Caenorhabditis elegans: one gene and its partners. The protein of the gene in region 1 purifies or fractionates together with the protein of each later gene. This does not show direct contact. Each region holds a gene or a part of one and is shown in the gene's direction. Other genes may lie near its edges.

Evidence for each region. Proteins that work in one complex are often made in the same cells at the same time.
Region 2: the proteins of unc-54 (region 1) and mlc-3 purify together in Caenorhabditis elegans (affinity purification with mass spectrometry; 2 studies listed by BioGRID, with this or other methods). This does not show direct contact.
Region 3: the proteins of unc-54 (region 1) and mlc-1 purify together in Caenorhabditis elegans (affinity purification with mass spectrometry; 2 studies listed by BioGRID, with this or other methods). This does not show direct contact.

Annotation. Positions count from the first base shown.
Region 1 is NC_003279.8:14,860,472-14,865,030, reverse strand, and holds the start of unc-54 (Myosin-4), read left to right. Parts: upstream 1-1,548; 5' UTR 1,549-1,580; coding exon 1,581-1,643; intron 1,644-2,205; coding exon 2,206-2,334; intron 2,335-2,382; coding exon 2,383-2,523; intron 2,524-3,004; coding exon 3,005-3,461; intron 3,462-3,541; coding exon 3,542-4,326; intron 4,327-4,378; coding exon 4,379-4,559. UniProt on the Caenorhabditis elegans protein: Required for muscle contraction.
Region 2 is NC_003281.10:5,563,024-5,567,523, forward strand, and holds mlc-3 (Myosin, essential light chain), read left to right. Parts: upstream 1-2,001; 5' UTR 2,002-2,108; coding exon 2,109-2,127; intron 2,128-2,297; coding exon 2,298-2,509; coding exon of another isoform or gene 2,510-2,551; exon of another isoform or gene 2,552-2,793; intron 2,794-3,650; coding exon 3,651-3,834; intron 3,835-3,888; coding exon 3,889-3,935; 3' UTR 3,936-3,984; downstream 3,985-4,500. Other genes in the region: rpc-2 (DNA-directed RNA polymerase subunit beta), read left to right, coding at 1,483-1,656.
Region 3 is NC_003284.9:17,457,320-17,461,294, forward strand, and holds mlc-1 (Myosin regulatory light chain 1), read left to right. Parts: upstream 1-1,890; 5' UTR 1,891-1,910; coding exon 1,911-1,913; intron 1,914-2,172; coding exon 2,173-2,307; intron 2,308-2,355; coding exon 2,356-2,488; intron 2,489-2,542; coding exon 2,543-2,691; intron 2,692-2,744; coding exon 2,745-2,837; 3' UTR 2,838-3,459; downstream 3,460-3,975. Other genes in the region: slc-17.1 (Sialin), read right to left, coding at 3,607-3,747, 3,794-3,975.

The DNA of each region.
Region 1 (4,559 bases):
CATCCGCGAATTGTTTTCGTCAGGATGAAGTATGAGATTGTGGGATTTGGAGAGAAGCTGATTTGCTGGAGAAGCACAAAAATCTGAAGAAAATGTTTGAAGAAGATAAAGCAAACGGAAAGACTATCCAGTTACATACATACTATCATGAGAATGATTTATGAGCCTTTTCGTAAATTTTTAGACAGATACTATTATCAGGAGACCTTTTAAAGCAAACGCGACAACTTCATAGTAGTTACCAAGGCTCGAAAAATTGATTGGTGCAACTTGAAGTTCGAATGAGTAGAATTGATAAGTATTACAGGTGCCTCCAAATCGATTGTCCGCCACAATGATATACCTCGAATCCATCTGATCAAAATTATTACTGTAGCATTGAATCGCAGTACCGTAATCAAATATTAAATATTTTTGCCCCCCTCTCCTCTACGTATCAATAAAAATAGTCTTAAAACTTACTTCGACTCCAAAGTAGGTTAGTATCAATTTTGCAGACTTTATTTGTAATGCATTTCTAACAAGGAAATTTTTACATTTTACCCTCAAACTTCAAAATGAGACATGTTTCATCTGAAGTGTTTTAGATTATGTCACGAAAGGTATGTCACTGCAAAATTTTAAGCAGCAATACTTTTCTCTCAACCCCTAAAATATCGATCTGAAATTGTCTCATTTAACCACTACTTTAGAGACCTGCATAATTGCTCTAAATGCTTTTTTGCAAACTTTGAAAGTTTTTCAGGAAGTGTAGGTAAACACTCCGGGAGGTTTTTAAAGAATTGTGATTTTTTTGGAGAATTGGTCTAAAAATTTTTTTGATTTTTTTTTTGAAAGAATTGTTATAACAATTTTCTTGATTTTTTTGCAAAAAAAATTAAAGGAAAACTGCACTGAAACAATTTCAGATCAACAATTTTAGGGTTGATATTAGAGCTTTGCCGCTTAGAATACTGCAGTGAGTATTTTCGGTTTTCACTGGTCTCTGTAAAAAGAGTAATGCAAAGGCAAGTTAACTAGGTCGTAAATGTATTGATTTGCTTAAAATCTGAAGATCTAGTGGTGAACCGTGGAAGATTATCAAGAGGAGGCTGAAGATCTGTTTAAGAACCATTAATCAAACTGGTATTCTATTTTCACTGGTTGTATGTAAACATTCTATCTTATTCCTTTTATCACTGTTCTGCACTTTCCTATAAAAAAAGTTGACCGACCGTACTCTCTGAATTCATTTTTCCCGATCTTACCAACTCCCGATCTATCTCTATCCCTGGTTTTTTCTTCGTGCTCCAATGGAATTCTTGAGACTTCCACTATCTTCTCTGGCACCCTCCACTACGCGTAGGCGTCTCTCGCTTCGTGTATTCCCGGGAAGCCGGGTTCCCGTCTCTCCCGCCGCTGCCGCTGCCGCACACAGCTTTACACCTCGTAGAATCCCCAAAGAGGGGCGTGGCTTGCGGGTGCCAACATCCTCCTGCCGAGGAAGAAGCAGGCACTCATCACTCGCATCATCAACCTCGACTAAGGGAGCACCACATTAGTTTTGAGGTAGAGAAACCATTTGAAAGAAGCGAGAAATCATGGAGCACGAGAAGGACCCAGGATGGCAATATCTCCGCCGTACCAGAGAGCAGGTTTTGGAGGTGAGTATTTATTTTTTATTTATTTATTTTTCTTTCATTTGTCTTTATTGTTATGCTCATTTCTATAGAGTAAATCGTATAGTACTCCATAAGTATCTAATTTTAACAAAACTGAGCATTTATTTTTGAAATTCTAGATTTTTAACATACAACTGAGTTAAAGTCTGCCATTTTACACTTATAGATTTTTTAAATTCAGGTAGAAGATTTGAGCTTGCCTTGTAATCCTTGTAATCAATGTTTATTTCTGTTTTCTAATTTTTCATAGATTTAGCTTCAAGATCATCTTTCCCTTGAAATCATTGAAATCTTCCTTTCTTAAATTTTTGCATTGCACTTGGAATTTTGTGACACATTGTGCTGCAGTAGTACTGTATTTTGAGACGGCACATTTATTTTGACTACACCACAAGCTTAACCTTGATTTTACTTTTTGATTCCATTCCATTCATGGGTCTAAAGTGTGAAGCGGTTTAGACCATTTTTCAACACAAGTTGGTATTCTTTAGAAGTGATATATTTCTGAATTCTGATCTCTTTTGTACCATTATTGTAATTTCAGGATCAATCTAAGCCTTATGACTCCAAGAAGAACGTCTGGATCCCAGATCCAGAAGAGGGATACCTTGCCGGAGAAATCACCGCCACCAAGGGAGACCAGGTCACCATCGTCACCGCTCGCGGAAATGAGGTTCGTTTTTAAGCTAATGATTACGGTTTTCAATGTAGTGTGATTCAGGTCACCCTCAAGAAGGAGTTGGTTCAAGAAATGAATCCACCAAAGTTCGAGAAGACCGAAGACATGTCCAACTTGTCTTTCCTCAACGACGCCTCTGTCCTCCATAACTTGCGTTCCCGTTACGCTGCTATGCTCATCTACGTAAGTTTCATTGAAACTTAAAGTTAAGCATTGAGAATCATTCATATTCTTCTTCTAAATTCCCATAAAATCCCGAAACTCCTTCCCTCTATCTTCTTTTCTTCTCGTTTTCAAATGTTTCTCTCTATCCCATTCTCTCATCAATTGAGTGGGATGAGGCTATCTCTGCCTCTCTTCTGAATCTCTGAACCATCTTACATTACACTGTGGATGACGGGAGCCCCACAGGCTCCCTTGCATCAGATACTGCCATTGGGGATGGCAAAGAAGAGAGAAGGTATTGTGAGGATATATTTTTCTAAGAAAAAACGTTTGAAGAAAAGAAGATGAAGAAGATCTGCTTGATTCATTGCACAAGTTAGAAGTAACAGGGGTCTATATTTCGAAGAACTTAAAGGGAATGCAACTGAACATAAAATTAAACAAAGGGATTGAATCCTGCAGTATTTAAAAATCGAAACTAGAATGTTTCCTATTTCAGACCTACTCCGGACTTTTCTGCGTTGTCATCAACCCATACAAGCGTCTCCCAATCTACACCGACTCTTGCGCCCGTATGTTCATGGGAAAGAGAAAGACAGAAATGCCACCACATTTGTTCGCTGTCTCTGACGAAGCCTACCGTAACATGCTCCAAGACCACGAGAACCAGTCTATGCTCATTACCGGAGAATCTGGAGCCGGAAAGACTGAGAACACCAAGAAGGTTATTTGCTACTTCGCCGCTGTCGGTGCCTCCCAACAGGAAGGTGGAGCTGAAGTTGATCCAAATAAGAAGAAGGTCACCCTTGAGGACCAAATCGTCCAGACCAATCCAGTACTTGAAGCCTTCGGTAACGCCAAGACTGTCCGTAACAACAACTCATCCCGTTTCGGAAAGTTCATCCGTATCCACTTCAACAAGCACGGACGCCTCGCATCTTGCGATATCGAGCATTGTGAGTTACTTTTTGATTTATATTCTAGCATAGCTCAATAAAAATTATGCAACTATTGTTTTAAACTATAAATTTTGCAGACTTGCTCGAGAAATCTCGTGTCATCCGTCAAGCTCCAGGAGAGCGTTGCTACCACATCTTCTACCAAATCTACTCTGACTTCCGTCCAGAGCTCAAGAAGGAACTTCTTCTTGACTTGCCAATCAAGGATTACTGGTTCGTCGCCCAGGCCGAGTTGATCATTGACGGAATCGATGACGTCGAAGAGTTCCAACTTACTGATGAAGCTTTCGACATCCTCAACTTCTCTGCCGTCGAGAAGCAGGATTGCTACCGCCTCATGTCCGCTCACATGCACATGGGTAACATGAAGTTCAAGCAACGCCCACGTGAAGAGCAAGCTGAGCCAGATGGTACCGATGAGGCCGAGAAGGCATCCAACATGTACGGAATCGGATGCGAGGAGTTCCTCAAGGCTTTGACCAAGCCACGTGTCAAGGTCGGAACCGAATGGGTATCCAAGGGACAGAACTGCGAACAAGTCAATTGGGCTGTCGGAGCCATGGCCAAGGGTCTCTACTCCCGTGTGTTCAACTGGCTTGTCAAGAAGTGTAACCTCACTCTGGATCAAAAGGGTATTGATCGTGATTATTTCATCGGTGTGCTCGATATCGCCGGTTTCGAAATCTTCGACTTCAACTCCTTCGAGCAGTTGTGGATTAACTTCGTAAACGAGAAGCTCCAACAATTCTTCAACCATCACATGTTCGTCCTTGAACAGGAAGAATACGCCCGTGAGGGTATTCAATGGGTCTTCATCGATTTCGGACTTGATTTGCAAGCGTGTATCGAACTTATTGAGAAGGTAAGATTGAATTGAAATTTTAAATGTATTTTGATCAATTCTTATTTTTCAGCCACTCGGTATTATCTCCATGCTTGATGAAGAGTGTATCGTACCAAAGGCTACTGATTTGACCCTCGCTTCCAAGCTTGTCGATCAACATCTTGGCAAGCATCCAAACTTCGAGAAGCCAAAGCCACCAAAGGGAAAGCAAGGAGAAGCTCACTTCGCCATGCGGCACTACGCCGGAACTG
Region 2 (4,500 bases), on another chromosome or scaffold:
AGCGAAACTGTTGCGGGAGAGACTGGGAGAAGCCTTGCGTGGGTTGACTTTGCGGGTCGACTTTTCTTGGAAACTGGGTTGACGTTTTTTGGAAAGGTTCTTGAAAATTTTTGATTTACCGCAGAGAAAATTATGGATTTTGTTTGATCATGAGAGAATACATTTCCCGACTTTTATCTGAAAATATCGAAAAAAAAGGTCGGAAACCGATTATTAATTTTTTTTTGAACTCCCACTTTTTTATAAGAACAGAGAAATCGATTTTAAAAAAAGCATTTTCCCTAAAAACTTTTTAAAAAAAGCAAAACTTTCTATTTTAATGGCTCTGAATCTCTGTTGCTCGGAAGTTAAAAAAAATCAAATTTTCGGTGCTATTCGAGCAAGATCCATTCCCAAATAAAAAAAATCTCTCACAATTCAGCGATATTTCGGAGTTTTTGAGAACATTTTTTACTAAAACCGCCTTTTCTTAGTACAGTCGTACCGAAAATAATATTTTCTGCACCTGTCCCAGGTGGCAAACAAGAATCAGAGATCTAAAGACTTGGAAGTGAACCTCACATTAAGATCCCTCCAGGAAACCTTCGGAGCTCTCGTCTTGATTCGCTTCTTCCTTCCTACTTTTCGTTTTTTTTTGCCCACAAAATAGTCATCGAAGAAGAAGAAGAAAAGATGAGATTTTTGCCCCGATGCGAGATGCCTGGTGAATAGTGTGATCTTCGTGGAGAGATGTCTCGCTGATCTCTCCTTGATTGCCATTTCACTATATCTTCCACCCCGAAGTCTGTGGACTCCACTGATCTCCGCATCTCTCGTCATTGAGTAAAAGCATTGGCAGAAGAGAGAACAGAAGAAGGAGGAATAAGAAGGAAGAGATATCTCCACAGTGGGTGCCTGTGCTTTTTCTTCCCGTCGGCTGTGCTCCTAGGAGTGGAATGCCGAGAAAATGTGCGATTGAAGTGGCACGCGGGGAGGATAGAGAAAGAAAATAAAGATATTGAAAGGGAGAATAGAGAAACATACGTTTACAACGAATTAATCGAGTTCGGCAGCCAACACGGGAAAAATGAACTTGTGAAGATGTGTTAAAACACAAAGATCTTATTAATTATTGAAGAGGGAGGAAATAAAATAAATTAACATTTCGAGCATTGGGGTACTGTAGACCTATTCCGTAAACAGAGAAACAAAATGGTTTAGCAGAATTCGCGGACTGAGGCGAGAGGCAGGCGGAGGTTGCCTTAAGGTCAGGCAGGCAAGCGTTTTAATGCAAAAGTAATGGATACTTGTTGAGCCTTATAATAATGTGTCGATATTAAAAAACACAAGTATGGATTTTTAACATAAAAAAGTTAAAAGACGCATGCTTAAATATTTTATAGGATAATTTGGTACTCCTTAAAACTCAGTTTGTATAAAAAAACGATTCGATGAGAGTATAATAGATTTCCAATGTAACTTAATAAATTTCTTGTTTTCCAGGTCGACGTGTGCACTGGATGCGGAGTAATCGGCTCGAAGGGTTGGTGCCAAAAGTGTCGTTCGAGCAAGTCAATGGCGAACATTAAGATTCCGTATGCGTGTAAGCTGCTCTTCCAGGAACTTCAATCCATGAACATTGTCCCGAGGCTGGACTTGGCCAGATACACCGAATAACCTTGTTTTGTAATTGTTGTTGTTGTTGTTATGCTTCTTCTTTCCCCTTCCCAAATCATTTTTTAATCTATTTTTTACTTGTTCCCCGAAATTTGAACATTTTTTGTTGTTTTTTTTGTCATACATTCATTCTTAAACTTATCATGAAAATTTTCTAGAAAATACTTGTTGAAACAGTACGCCGCGCTTTCTCGCTCTCACATCCCACATCTCGCCACTCTATCTCTTGAGCATTACATCCCTCTCTCTATCTCTCGGGCTCCCGAGGGGTGAAATAGTGTACTCGCGCGGGAGTGCGGGAGCTCAATATCCGCCCCAATCCGCCCCCATCCTCTACGAAGAGTCACACACAGTTTACACTTGGGTTGCCACTGCTCTGTCGCCTTCACTCAGTTTCCACACTCAGTCCCCCCTGCTCTGCCGCCGCTGCAACACTCACACATCATCACATAATGGCTCCACCATCCCAAGGTGAGTAATTTTTTAAGCAATGTCCCCAGCTCTTAGGGATACCTTATAAGGTTTTAGGACTTCTAAAACATTTTATTTTTAGTTTTTTTTTAATGTTTCAAAAATATATCCAATTCCCCAAATATATCCCTACAATCCCAAACATTTTTTCAAACTTGAAATCGTTCTAGACGTGCTCAAGGAGATCTTCAACCTCTACGATGAGGAGCTTGACGGCAAGATCGACGGAACCCAAGTCGGAGATGTCGCCCGCGCCGCCGGACTTAAGCCAACTCAGGCTATGGTGACAAAGGCCGCCGGACAGGAGTTCAAGCGTAAGGGAGAGAAGAGACTTACATTCGAGGAGTGGCTCCCGATGTACGAGCAACTCGCCAAGGAGAAGGTACGGTATTTTAAACATCTTGCCTGTGCCTTTAACCTTTAGCTGAGAGTTTTTTGAGATTTAGGGATCTAGGGGCCTCGCGCCAAACCTTTAACTCCCGCACCGAGTGATAATCAAACAAAGAAGATGAAGCTTGAGATTTGTTTTATTTCAAGGTCTAAGTAAATATTGGATCTCAGAGGTTAACCCCATACAGTACCCCTAGCCGAAAACTTTTAAATCACAACTAAGGGTCTGAAAAATCTGAACATCCTCTTCCACCGGCACATGCCAGCCGATCCCTAGAACTTTAGAGAGATAGGCGGCGGCGGCTCCCGTGAAGCATGTGTGGGAGAGGAGCACATAGGACTCTCGAGAATCTCTCTTGGCACACACAAACACACACATAGGCACAGTGTAACAATAGAGAGCATCATCATTCTGCGTCTACTGGGTCCTTGTTGTAGATATTTGTATGGATAGGAAGTAGTAAGGAATAGGCAAGGGATCTTGAGTAAGGATCCCCATATACGGGTAAAAGAATGGAGTGAGTATATATGAAGCTTCTAGGAGCTATTGAGTTTTGGAAAGAGCTGCCAGCTCAGACTATTTAGTGGAGGTTTAAGGTAAAAAATCCTGTAGATCTTTGATTGAATTCAACTAGGGCATTCTCTGGACCCACAACCGTCAGTATTTTGAAAGCTTTAAGGCAACCAGTTTCTTAGAAAAGATTCAAAACAGCACATGGAGATCTTGAAGAGCCAATAGAAACCTACGAACTGAGCTCAGAAGACTGGACAACTCATAAAGTTTGAAATAGCAAGTTTGGCCAGATATTTTGGGAAACACATTTCGCTTTCGTTATTAAATAGTCTGCGAAGTTTACCTGAGCACATATCTACTCAAATTTGACAATCTGAAAGTCAGTGTCTAACGAATTTTGGATAGAATCCTAAGCGAAAATCAGAGAGTTCTCTGGAGCTTCGGGATGGAATTAGCTGATGTTCGAGGTTACTGTCACCTGAATAGGGAATGATTTATGTTTACTGGAGTTAGATGCCTACCTTAGGGTCCGCATGTAGAGCAGATCATCATTCATTTAACATTGAGATTATAAACTGAGAAAATTGTTCTTTCCAATATAAATTTCCAATTTCTTCAGGAGCAAGGAACCTACGCTGACTTCTACGAGGGACTCAAGGTGTTCGACAAGGAGGAGACTGGAAAGATCTTGGCCGCTGAGCTCAGACACATCCTCTTGGCTCTCGGTGAGAGACTTTCCGCCGATGAGGCCGATGAGCTCCTCAAGGGAGTCGAAGACGGAGAAGGCATGGTCAAGTACGAGGGTAAGCCGATTTTTTTTCTTCTCGGAAATTTTTTTTAATTGAAATTTATTTCAGATTTCATCAAGAAGGTTTTGGCCGGACCATTCCCAGACCAGGACTAAATTTTTGGATCTGAATCTGTGCTACACCCATTATAATGTTTAAATTTTGAAAAAAAAAACACCATCTTCTCTTACCCAAATTTTTTGCTCCCCTTTCCCTTCTCTGCCTTCTTTCTCCCCGTTCCAAATAACGATGTTTTACTTTTTTGTCTATAAACCCATCGTCTAGTCGCTCGTTTTCTTCTACGCTATACACGTAAGAGATTCCACTCGCGTGCGCGCATTCCGTTTTCTGATCCAGAAAACGTTTTGCACTTTAAAAATCAGCGCGCGGTTTTCTCTTCTTTTTCTCCAACACATTCAAGCCTGTTTCTATGATCAAGAAATTTTCTTTCTTTCTTCATTTTACACTTTTTTATTCAGAAATTCATTCGTTTCTTATATTCGTTCTCCTTTTTGGATTATAATAAAAAACCTTTTGAATAATTATGAAATGGAAATTTTGGTATAGTACATGTAGTAAGTTGAAAGGCTGCTAGAAATATCAGCTTTTGAGTCGATGACCTGATAAAAACAAACTGCCAGTTTGATTTTTATCAATTGATTTATTTTCCGTCTACTGTGC
Region 3 (3,975 bases), on another chromosome or scaffold:
GTGGCCCATTAACACAAAATAGGAATTAGAAAGAATATAACTTTGAATGTTGAATGAAAACATGTAACATCGAATATTGTTTCTAATGGCTGAAGACAAATTAACAAGTTCGTAAAAAGAGAACAATTGAAAGGAATGTTTATAAGTGGTTTTTATTGTTTTTCTAGCAAGAACTTTTCCGAAGATAAAAAATTGAATGTTCAGATTGTTTTGTATCTCATGAGCCCAGTAGAAATCTTTACTACTTCATAAGTATGGAAATCAAAATAAAACATTACAAAACATAAATTTTTCGAAAAATTGAAATTATGTTCAACAAAAATGCCAAGCGACTGGAAAATTGTATCCAATGTTTCTTTGCCAACTTTAAAATTGTATATTTTGTTTCTAGTAGTTGTGCTTGCTGATTATCAAAAAATTGAAGAAGACATTGTTCAACAATTGATTTTTAGAGGCGACAGCTAATCTGAACTTGTGATTCTAACGTGTTGTAACAAATTTTCAAAGCGCGTTTTCCAGACCATCATCGTACTTTTCAAAACATTAATGGTTTACTGTTTGAAGTTTTCAGAGGAAACATTTGATTTACACAAATTGTTGTAATTGGAATTAGAACTATTGTTTATGCTTCAATTTCGTTAAAGCAATTTTTTCACAATTTTGTTTGATGTATATTGGAAAAAAAAATTCAATTATTCATTTTACAAACGGAAATTGTGGAGTGATAATAATAATAACTTTTACGAACATTTGTAATACGCTCATAATAAACATTAAATGATTTTTTCAAATTTACAAACAAACCAAAAAATTAACTCTTTTCGAAGTAAAACGTTTCAAAAATAAGTTAACAAACAGGAAGCAAAATTAAAAGCGTTTCTGCCAGCTGACGCATTATCTTAAAAGCTGTTTTCAGATAAGAGCACTGGTAGACAGAACACTCAATAGAAAATCAGATGAAAAAGTTTGAAAGTTGAGGAATCAAAAAAGTTATCCTTGTTAATTTAGGATATGAGTAAGAACCTCTTGTCACACTAATTCTGATGGAAGGTTTTTTTTTCTGAATCGTTTCTGAATTGTCTCCAATGAGAGTATAGTTCGAAACACAATTTTTGTCTGTTATTCAATGACATCAAAATTATTGATTTCAAAAATAGCTGCAAATCCTAAAATCAAAAATCACTGCGTATGTCAAAACTTTGAAGATTGTGTGAAAATCAATATTTGCTCTGTTTCATCCTATCTTAAAATACGCCCGATTAATTATTTCATTTTAACAAAACTTGAAAAAAAACTATACAAATAGATTTCACAAGTAGTTGAAACAATTAGTAGGAAAATTATAATTTATACCAGAAAAATATATGTCAAAAAAAATTATCGTTAGTGAAATATTATAAACAGATATTACTGGAACCATCTGATAAATTCAGTATGTCCCATTTAGTCATGTTATGAAAATTAAAATTTATAATCAAGTTCCAAAACAAAAGAGTTTCAGATTTTCAAGTTTTCAATTATCCTGTTTGTTGGAAATGTTGAATTTAAACCTTCCTTTCCAACTCAAAACAAATTCTGATTATGTTGTGCCCTGCTCAGATTTAAAGCTCGGATGATCTATTCCCTTTCCCTTATTGCATCCCCTCATTTATCCGATCGAGCAACTTTTTCGATGGCGGGTAAGAGGCATCGCGACGCAAGCAAGGCGAGAGTTTTGCCCATCTTCTTGGAAACCTCCGACGGGTGCCTGATGTTAGCACCACGGGGGCGGTGCGCCTCTTGTGTAAAGTTGTTGAGATTTGCTCAAACAGCCCTCCCCTCGACGCGGGGCCCAACGAGTGTAAAAGGCAGACAAAAGCGACGGATAATCTTCAGTTAGTCTCAGTTCACTACTCAGTACAGTCCACAAAATGGTGAGTTGGATTTTTTAATAAGTTATTTGAAAAGCATGAGTTTCTGTATAGGAATAGGAGTGCGTTCATATATATTTTGATTTAACCTGTCTATATTGTATTTAAAAAATTATTTATTTTGAATCAGAGGTTCTATAATCAGTTTCATCTTTAAAAAATTTCTGGTAAATTAAGAACGTAACATTTAGATTTAGGCTTTGTTTAAAAATCAAGCAATTAAATCGACTATAAAATTGTCAATATGTTCTCAATTTTCCAGTCCAAGGCCGCCAAGAAGAAGTCCTCAAAGAAGCGCTCGGGATCCGAGGCCGCCCAATTCGACCAGAAGACCATCCAGGAATTCAAGGAGGCTTTCGGAATCATGGATCAGAACAAGGACGGAATAATTGACAAGGTTAGAATTTTTCTTATTTTTTTAATGGTTCTAATCAACAATTTTTAGTCTGACCTCAAGGATCTCTACGCTTCCATGGGACAAATCGCCCCAGACAGCCAGATCGACGCCATGATTAAAGAGGCTTCCGGACCAATCAACTTCACCGTCTTCCTCACCCTTTTCGGAGAGAGATTGACAGGTAGGCTAATTAAATTTGATAAGTTAATGGTGATTTGAATCTATTTAATTTCAGGAACTGACCCAGAGGCCACCATTATTGGAGCCTTTGCCATGTTCGACAAGAAGGACTGCGGAAAGATCAAGGAGGACGACCTTATCAAGATCCTTCAAAACAAGAGAGGAGAGCCATTGGACGAGGATGAGGTCAAGGCTATGTACAAGGTAAATTCATTCTTTCTGAAATTTTTGAAACTTCCCAACTCCTCATTTTTTAGGGAAAGCCACCAATCGAGGGAGGAGAGGTCGACTACAAGGCCTTCGCTCACCTCATTACCACCGGAGCCCAAGACGAGCTCGCCAGCGCCTGAACATCTCCAGCCCACAAGCAATTGCAACCACTTTGGGAGTGGCGTCAACGTTATTCTAGAATCCATTACGGTGTCTCATTTGAAGACCTTTCCACGTGCTCCTATGATACATCGCCGTGTATTCAAGACTCATTGTTGTCATTCCGTGTGGCGCAGCGTTCAGACGGCGCTCTAACCCATTCCGCGCGCATTTTTCTATTTTCGCCGCTCTTTACCCTTAGTTTTATAGCCGAGATCATTATAATCACCTGGAAATGTGTGGTTGCCGGTTGGTTTGACCAACTTCTTCCACCAGTGGGAAGAATAACGTCATTTCGAAGCCATCTGGCAACCCCAATTTCCTAACCACGCCGTCTGACTGCGCGTACACACTTCTATCACTCCAAATGGTTTTTCCTTCTTTTTTCTCGCTCGCAAATTCTATTGTCATTTCATTACATGTTTTGTCATTTTTTTTTTGTGTTCACCCACTTTCATTACTTTGGTATTCCAAAACATTTGCAAACTTCTTCTAGATTTTCTCTGAGCAGTTACTTGTGGTGCATATACATTCTCCCATATCGGGACTAGTCAAAGCTCTACGATGTACTTTCAATATGTAAAATAAACAATGTCTCAATTCAACATCCAGACTTTCATTGTGTTCTTTGAAGGAGTTCAGCCTCAAAATTCTGAAAGCTAGAAAAAAAATAAGGAAAAACTCTGTGGGGAAAGATCAATTATGCTTCTAATAGAAAGGAAATGTGGGAAAGTTAGATATGTTGACCATCTATTCCAGCTGTCCGACAAAGGAAGTGTGCTCTGCGGCCCATGGTTGTAGGGTAGCGTCGGCGAACTTCCAAAAAATTGCAGCTCCGAGCAGATAAGCAGATATTATGATGTACATGATCACGTTCCACTCACCGATTGTCTAAAAACAGGTAAATTTTTTTAGTTTCTCTGGCTTGTAAGCTTACCCCATTTTGCACAATTGCTCCAACTAGAAGAGGTCCGAAAATTCCAGGAATTGTCGCAAATGTGTTCGACGTGGCCATCAAATGTCCAGCATACTGTGGGGCCAAATCCAGATGATTTACTGAAAATCCACACCAACAAATTCCGCCTAGTCCGATGGAAATTGAGAAGAAAAGGACCAGAA